2 linked regions of the Ovis aries genome follow. The protein of the gene in region 2 interacts with the protein of the main gene of each other region in a biochemical or structural test. Links are inferred from orthologs where the notes say so. Each region holds a gene or a part of one and is shown on either strand. Other genes may lie near its edges. The genes, in order: USP5 and CACNA1H.

What was found.
Region 1: the proteins of CACNA1H (region 2) and USP5 form a complex in vitro, tested with the Homo sapiens proteins (2 studies listed by BioGRID, with this or other methods). The link is inferred for Ovis aries from reciprocal best matches to the Homo sapiens genes CACNA1H and USP5.

Annotation. Positions count from the first base shown.
Region 1 is NC_056056.1:209,427,050-209,430,844, reverse strand, and holds part of USP5 (ubiquitin carboxyl-terminal hydrolase 5), read left to right. Parts: intron 1-487; coding exon 488-559; intron 560-824; coding exon 825-912; intron 913-1,044; coding exon 1,045-1,170; intron 1,171-1,685; exon of another isoform or gene 1,686-1,758; intron 1,759-2,025; coding exon 2,026-2,179; intron 2,180-2,491; coding exon 2,492-2,666; intron 2,667-3,288; coding exon 3,289-3,377; intron 3,378-3,795. UniProt on the Homo sapiens protein: Deubiquitinating enzyme that participates in a wide range of cellular processes by specifically cleaving isopeptide bonds between ubiquitin and substrate proteins or ubiquitin itself.
Region 2 is NC_056077.1:1,462,200-1,466,777, reverse strand, and holds the start of CACNA1H (voltage-dependent T-type calcium channel subunit alpha-1H), read right to left. Parts: upstream 2,978-4,578; 5' UTR 2,834-2,977; coding exon 2,536-2,833; intron 1-2,535.

The sequences.
Region 1 (3,795 bases), on a different chromosome or scaffold from region 2:
CAGTCCCAGGGCTCTTCCAGGCCTCCTGATGTACTCAAGGGCCAACAGGTACTCTTTATTTTGGGCCAGTGACATCAGATGAGCACCTGATGGGGGAGAGGGGAGGGCTGGGACATGGAGACAGAAGAAAGGCAAGTTAGGGTTAGGGAAGTGAGCATCCTGTCTAAATAGGAAGGCCTGAGACACACGTGAAAATTTAGAACATATCGACACGTTCTATTCAAAGAACATGAACTGTATTTATCCTCCTGAGTGTCTTCTACCATCCTGTAGCTCCGTCTTGGGGCAGAGGCTTGTGTACCCTGCATGCTCACCTGTTTGGGAAGGGGAGGGAAGGTGAATTGCTGGAAAGACGTGGACCCCAAGTGTCAAACACATGTCTCCCCACTTTGGAGGGACCTGTTCCCTGAACTGGTAGATGAATGCTCCCTTCCCTTTTCCTCTGGGCCTGGCCGCAGCCCCTTCAGTGATCCTTCCCTTGGCTCAGGTACGTGGATAAGCTGGAAAAGATCTTCCAGAACGCCCCAACGGACCCCACCCAGGACTTCAGCACCCAGGTGTACGTAGCCGGGCCTGTGTGCCCTCTTTCTCTTCCATGACCCCCTGAAGTGAGCAACAGTGTAGCCTCTGGCCAGCTAGACACTTTCCAGTTGCTATCTTGCAAGCATGCTGTCTGCCTTGAGTTGGGTTCCCATGGAATCTAAGGTGGTTCACATTTAAGAGAGTTGTCTAAGGGGGTTTGAGCAGGGGTCAAGTTGGGGAGGTAAGGGCTAGATTGGTGGTGTCAGACGGAAGCTAAATGGTTCTCTTGGGTGATGACACAGGGCCAAGCTGGGCCACGGCCTGCTCTCGGGGGAGTATTCCAAGCCAGCACCAGAGTCGGGTGATGGGGAGCAGGTAATGGAGCAGAAGGTGGGTCTGGACCTCCATCCTTCTCAGGCTGTGGAATGGTGGGGAAACTGAGATCCATGTGGGAGGCGTCTAAAGAAGGCCACTTGGTGGCCTCTCGGGCCCCGGCTGAATGGCTGCCCCAACTCTGCCTAGGAAGTCCAAGATGGCATTGCCCCTCGGATGTTCAAGGCCCTCATTGGCAAGGGTCACCCCGAGTTCTCCACCAACCGGCAGCAGGATGCCCAAGAGTTCTTCCTGCACCTTATCAACATGGTGGAGGTGAGGACAGGGAAGGTGGGGGTATTCATTCTCCTCCTGTCTACCTGCACTTCAGTTCACTCCCTTCTTCCCGCTGCTCACCTGTTCCTCCTCCTCTGTCAGCCCCAGCCCAGCCCCACCCCAGTGACCCCAAGCACTGAGCCTTTCCTGAGAGTGGCGTTTGCACTTGAGGACACTTGTTATGCATACAGCCTGATGAAGGATGCTCCCAAAGAAAATGATAGGCGAGTGCTTAGTGCTTAGAAAGAAAGTACAGGGGACTTCCCTGGTGGTTCAGTGGTTGAGACTTCGCCTTCCAGCACAGGCGGGTGCAGTATCAATCCCTGGTTGGGAACCTAGGATCCTCCAGGCCAAGAAACCAGAAACAAGCAATACTGTAACAAATTCAATAAATACCTTTTTTCTTTTTTAATATTTATTGACTTGGCTGTGCTGGTCTTAGTTGCAGCACAGGGGATCTTTGATCTTTCATTGTGGCATGTGAACTCTTATTCGTTTCCACAAGTGGTATCCAGTTCCCCAGCCAGGGATCGAACCTGGGCCCCCTGCATTGGGAATGCTGAGTCTTAGCCACTGGACCACCAGGGAAGTCCCCAATAAAGACTTTTTTTCAAAAGGAGGTCCACATTCAAAAAAGAAAGTACAGGCACTTTCCCACGCAGTCCTGCAGTGCCAGGATGGGCCGGAACTGGCGGGTTGATGAGGGAAGGTTTCTGCTCTGGTCTCCCATCCCTGCACCTCTTTGTGCCCCTCTCCCTTCCACTCCCTTCTCTCCCTGACTCCCCAGTGACTCTTGTAGGCCCCCACCCCAGTGCTTGGCTGTCCAGACCTCCCCACCCTGCCTCTTCCCCATAGAGGAATTGCCGGAGCTCTGAAAATCCTAACGAAGTGTTCCGCTTCCTGGTGGAGGAAAAGATCAAGTGCCTGGCCACAGAGAAGGTGAAGTACACCCAGCGAGTGGACTACATTATGCAGCTGCCCGTGCCCATGGATGCGGCCATGAACAAAGGTGGGTGCTCTGCTACCCTCCCGGGGCCTGGGGTCTGAAGCCTGGCAGCGATGGGGCTTGGGTGCCTTTCAGGAGCAGAGCCCACAGTATCCCTGCTTACCAACCAGGCCAGGGTGTGGGATTAACCTTGCGCACAGCTGGTCAGCTGAGCCGTGCTGAGAAAGAGGCCAGGTTACAGGCAGACGTGTGTCTGGTGGGTTTGGGGAAGCAGAGGAGCTGAGATAGCCGTGGACTCAGAGGCAGTAGGCCAGGGATGAGCGGGGATGTGGCTCGGCCCCTCTGAAGGGTCCACCCACTTGCTTCTGTCACCAGAGGAGCTTCTAGAGTATGAGGAGAAGAAGCGGCAAGCTGAAGAGGAGAAGCTGCCTCTGCCTGAGCTGGTTCGGGCCCAGGTGCCCTTCAGCTCCTGCCTGGAGGCCTACAGCGCCCCCGAGCAGGTGGACGACTTCTGGAGCACAGCCCTGCAGGCCAAGTCAGTCGCTGTCAAGTAAGTCCTATGGGTCCCGGCCTCCGTCAGGGTCCTCCCCGAGATGCTGTCAGCCTCTTTTGCATCCTCTCATCCCTTTGTGGTCAGAACTCAGGCTTCCATCAGCTGAGGCAGGTAACCTGGGGCCTGAGGGGAACCGAGAGGGCCTGGCAGGAGTGGACTTGGATAACTGCTACATGTTACCTTGACCTGCCCCTGCCAGTCTTTTTCCTCTCTTGGGGTGGATGGGGTCACTTTTCAGGAAGCCTCTGTCTGCTCACTTCCCCAGGGCTGGCAGAGCATGGGCACTTAGGAACAGTGGTGGACAGAACTGAGATTTTTAGCACATAGTCTTACTTTTTGCTCACCCGTCACTGGCGTAAACTTGAGATCTGAGAAAGTGCTTTGGTCTCCGAGATTTCAGCCACCTGCCCCTTTGCTGCTCCTGCCCCTAAGAACCCCCATTCCCCTACTTCCTACCTTCTGCTACTGTTCGTCTGCAGACACTCTTGATGCCTGTCCAGGGCAGGAAAGGAATATGAAATTATCTTTAGTGTGGTTAGTTCTTCTACCTATGAGGCTGGACCCGGGTGGGGCTTTCAGGACAGCTTCTCTGGGTACCAGGCCATTCTCTCTTCTCTAGGACCACACGATTTGCCTCATTCCCTGACTACCTGGTCATCCAGATCAAGAAGTTCACCTTTGGCTTGGACTGGGTGCCCAAGAAACTGGGTATGGTTGCCGGGACGAGCAAGGGAGGTTACGCAGAAAATGCTAGAAAAAGAAGGGGCCTTGACATGTAAACTAGTGCTTCTTCAGCTTTCCTCTGAAAGGGGAAACATTATTAAGACTTTGATTTAAAAAAAAATTTTAACTACGTTTTTTAATTGAAGTATCATTGACTTACAACATGGTGTTAATTACTGCTATAGAGCAAAGCTATTCAGTTATATTAAATACATATATATTCCTTTTTAAATTTTTTGTTATGATTTATCATAGGATATTGAGTACAGTGTGCTGTGCTATACAGTAGGACATTGATGTTTAAGACTTCTTTGATTTTATAGTTATGACTTACACAAGCAAAAGTGGTTTTCATAGTTTTATACAGTTGGTAAGATGTTTTCATTCTGATAATCTTGAAATA
Region 2 (4,578 bases):
GGGCTGTCCACGCCACGCAGGGGGTCCCAAAAGTCTGGGCTTGAGGGAGGCCCCTGCCTGTGTTCCCACTGCTGGTCTCGTCCCTGCACGGGGCTGGGTTCGGCGGACCGGCTGGGGTTCTGCCCGCCTCTGGGAAGCATTGAGTGGCTTCATGGTGTGTGGGTTCCCAAAGCAAACCCAGTCACCCCATCTCCCTCTCCAAGTTTACCCTCCGCAGCAGGAGAGGTTCCAAGAAAGGACGCTGGGTGCCACCGGCATAACACCCACCTACAGGGCAGGGAACCAAGGCCAAGGGGTGTCCTCTGGCCCTGGGATGGACACCACGTAGGTTCCGGCAGACTGCAGGCTACCCACCAAACCCCAGCCTCTCACAAGGAACCTGAAGTGCTCAGAACAGGCTTGCTGAGGCCCACGGGCTTCCCCGGGGGGACCGGCCCCCCGTCGGGCGCACCGTCTTATTTTAGGTTCTCCCTGTGGCCGAGACACCCCTGCACCAGGGCCTGGCACCTGCTGGAGATCACAGCCGTCCCTACTCGCTAGGGCCCTGACAAACCCACCACACTCAACACAGGCAACCTCTCCACGAAATCGGGAGAGCTCCCGGTATTGTGGAGAGACGATACTGGGACCTGAGCTCCCCCACACCCTGCCAGTCGGAAGGGTACTCCCAGATTCCCCGCCCCTGACCTGGCGGAGGGCTCCTCCTAGCCTCTCGACATCCTCCTGCTCCTGGAGTCCCCAGGAGCCCAGGGACAGACACACGGGCAGGTGGCCCTGCCAGCCCCAGCCCCCACCCCTTGGGGCCCCCCCACCCGCATGGGGCACCCCCCTTCCCCTGCACTGAGGAACACAAACAACCTTGTCAGACGTCCCGAAGGACGCAGCCCGCCCGGAACATCCAGAACACAGGGTCAGGCGGGACGGGGACAGGGCGGCCAGACGCGGGGGCTGTCAGGAGAGAGAAAGTGCAGGCCCCGCTCCCGTCCTTCCCTGACTGGTCCCCACGTGTGCCTGCAGATGAAGGACACGGCAGGGGGGCTGCCTCCCCTCCCAGGGCCTCAGGGTGCCCACCGTATACCCCAGTACCCCACCCAGTCGGGCCACCTTCCCGCCCAAACCAGGTGGCCTGAATATGCCCCGGGTTTCGGAGCGAAGACCAGCCTACAGCTCCCCTGCAAGCTCAGCATGGCAGCTGCTGGGGGTTGAGGGGGGCCCCAAGCCCACCCAGGAGCTGTGGGACAAAGGCAGGCAGGGGAGCCTGCTGCCATGCTGGGGCGGCAAGCGGCCGTGGCCCTCAACCCAGGCCACGACGGACCCCTTGCACAACGGCATTGGGGGTGGGGGGCGGGTTTTGGCTACTCTGACTCAGTTTGGATTTCAGGAAAGAAAAAAAAGACAGGGTTTGTTACTTTCCTGCTACACATTCCTCTTTCCTATGTGATGTTTGTACAGTTAGACACACAAGGTAGGAAAAATGTATACACGCATCGCTCACGCGGCCGGTCCCCTTCACGTGGACAGGGAAAGTTCACGGGCAAGGTCTCCCCGCCACCAGCCTCCTTTCCTCAGTCCCCCACCCTGCTGTCACCCAATCCCTCCAGGCTAAGGGGAGGGGACGCCTGGTGCCCACAGCCCAGCCACCTGGCAGCCAGGGGCCCGCGGGAGAATCGCCCAGGACACAGGGAGCCAGGGCCCGCTGACAGTCCCCAAAGGCCATCTGCCGGGGGTCCCCAGCTCTGCTGTGTCCCAGAAATGCCCCCTGCCTGACCCAGCTCTGCTCTAGAACCTTCTCTGAAAGTGTGTCGCTCTCACCAAGAGCAAAAAGAGAGACCCCTTCCTCTTGGGTCAGGGAAGCACCGGGAGAAGGGACACCAGGGTGCGGAGCGCGTGCCAGCTGCCTCCCTGCCCCCCAGCCCCAGCTGCGCATGACTTAAATCAGCCCCAACACCGAGTTCAGCCTGGAAAGGCGAGTTCACAACCGACGTCACCGCCGCTCCCCACGGAAAAGGACCAGCGAGAGCGCAGGGCCTCCTGGCCCCCAGGGTCTCCCAGACTCTCCCAAGTGCAACGGACAGGGAGAAAACTTTGATCCCTTATTGAGGTCCCGCCGGCACCCCCTTCCCCCACCGCAGTGAGGATCCTGCCTCAGGCCGGAGGTCCCGTAAACCCGGAGGGAGGAATTCCCGTCCTGACCCGGCACCCATGGGGGCGCAGGCAGTGCCCACTTCCCTCCTGGCCACCAAGCCCGCAGTGGCCTCGCCGCTTCTATTCCACCCTCTCTCGTCCGGAGCTGGCTCTGGAGCGGGGACACCCCGTTCGGATCAAGAGAGCCGCGGCCGCTGCCCCACAAAGCGCAGCCCGGGGCCGCCTCTCGGAGGAGCGCTCCCCTCGCGCCGCTGTACTGCGTCCTCCGCGCACCCAGACCGCGCCAGGGCCAAAAAGCCCGGGCGTGGGAGGCACACGCGGGAGGGGGTCACGCGCCCCGAAGCCCCGTGCCCAGGATCCCCGCACCCCCGGAGGCCCGGGAAGGATATGGGTTACAGACCAGCCGGAGACACCAGCTGCGCGGCCGCGTGGTCTGCCCGAGACAGAAGAAGACGGTGGCCGCCAGCGCCGGGTACGGGACGGGCTGCTCCTCGTCGGCGCCCAGCTCCGCGCCGCGCTCGGCCGCCGGACTCTCGGGGGGCGACGCACTGGGCCCCGACCCCCGCTCCGCCTCTGGCCCCGGGGCCCCAGGGCTCGCCGGGGACGCCGCCGCCGCCGCCGCCGGGCCCGGGGCTGGCGCGCCCAGGGGCACGCGGACCTCGTCGGCCGCCTGCACGCCCTCGGTCATGGTAGCGGCTGGCAGCACCTGCGGGGGACAGGCGGTGACCAGGTCCCGGGAACGACACCCTCGCCCGCTTCAGGCGGCGCGGGATCCGCGGAAACAGCCACGGCCGCCGGGATGTCTTTGTCTTTTCTCATTAGAGACAAATGCGCCCCCCGCCCCCTCCCGCCGGCGAGCGCTGGGCGGCCCCTCCCCCACCGCCGGGGCGGGGGCCGGCGCCCGAGGGGGCTCCCCCGCCGGCCGCCTCAAGTTGACGAGGGTCCCGGCGCGCAGCGGGGCGCGCGCCCTCGCCGCGTCTCACCTCGCTCCGGCTGCCGGCGGCGTCCCCGCGGGCATGGCCCGGGCGGTGCGGTCACCGCGGACCCGGCGCGGCGATTGGCCCCGGCTGGAGCCCCGCCGCCCCCGGCCCGCGCCCCCGGCCCGCGCCCCCGGCCCGCCGGCTCCCGCTCCGGCTGGCCCGGCAGCGACGGTGGCGGCAGCCGGGCGCAGAGGGCTCCGCGAGGCGGACGGGCGCGGGGCGCCGGGCGCGGGGGGCGCGGACCGGGCGGCGGGGCGGCGAGCGATCGCGGATCCCGTCCGCGCTCCGCGCAGGAAACTTCGGAGTGAGCGGCGGGCGGGGCGGGGGCGGGGCGCGGCGGCGGGGGCGGGGCCGGGCCGGGGGCGCGGGGGGGGCAGCTCCCGCCCCGGAGAGCGCGCGCCGCCCCTCCCCCTTCGCGGAGGGCGCCCCGCCCCCGCCGCCGCGCCCCGCCCCCGCCGGGAAGGCGGAGCCCGGCCCGCCCCGCGCCCCCCATCGCGCCCCCACCCTCCCGCGCGGGGCGCGGGGCGCCAGGGGGCGCTCGCGTAGAGGCTGGGCGGGGGCGGGGCGGCGGCGCCGGCGTCTTCCCCGCCCCCAACTGCGGGGGCGGCCGGAGCCGCGGAGGCGGGCGCTCCCTCCCCGCCGGGGCGCGCACCGAGCCCTTTGGCGCCGCGGGCGGGGGTCGGCGAAGGGGCGGGGCTGCAGGCGTGGGCGGTGCGCGGCGGTCGAGACCGCGGCGGGCGCGCCCCTCCCCCTCCGCATGTGTGTCCTGGGTGTGACCGCGCGTGTGATGCGCTGCTGTATCCGTGGGTGGGATTCTGGGTGCGCGTGCATCCGCACCCCCGCACACACACACACACACATACACGCGCGCGCGCGCACAGCGCACCTACGGCTTTCTGCGAACTTGTCCCTCGCCCAGCCTCCTCCTGGACCAAGCGAGCCGCGTGGGACCTCGGGGAAGCGCCCAGGCCCTCCCGCAGCCCCCCAGCCTCACACTGAGACACACCGCCCCCTGTGCTCCGGGGTCCCACTCGGACCCCTTGGCCACTGAAAACCTCACAAGCTTTTCACTTTTCCACGACCACCAGTCTGGTGGCTCCAAGTGCGACCTCCCTTCTTCCAAGCCCACTCAACGCTGGACAAAGAGAGGGGTGGCTGGTCCACACGGGCGGCTCCAGGGGCCTCCGGCCTCAGCAGTCGCTCGAGTGGGTGAGAGGACCCACGTGGGGACCCCCAGATCTGGAGAGGCCCTGGCAAGGTCACTCAACCAGGGCTTCCCCACCTGCGCTGCGCAATGGCACTGCAGAGACGCAACCAGAATGGGGTGGCCGTGCTGGGGGTAGGGAAAGCCCGGAAGGCCCTGCGCCTTGCTCCACCTCTGGGCCTTGGGGGACGGAAGACGCAGGAAGGCAGGACCATGGCAGTTCCCAGGCAAGGCCCAGGGGGTGTCCAG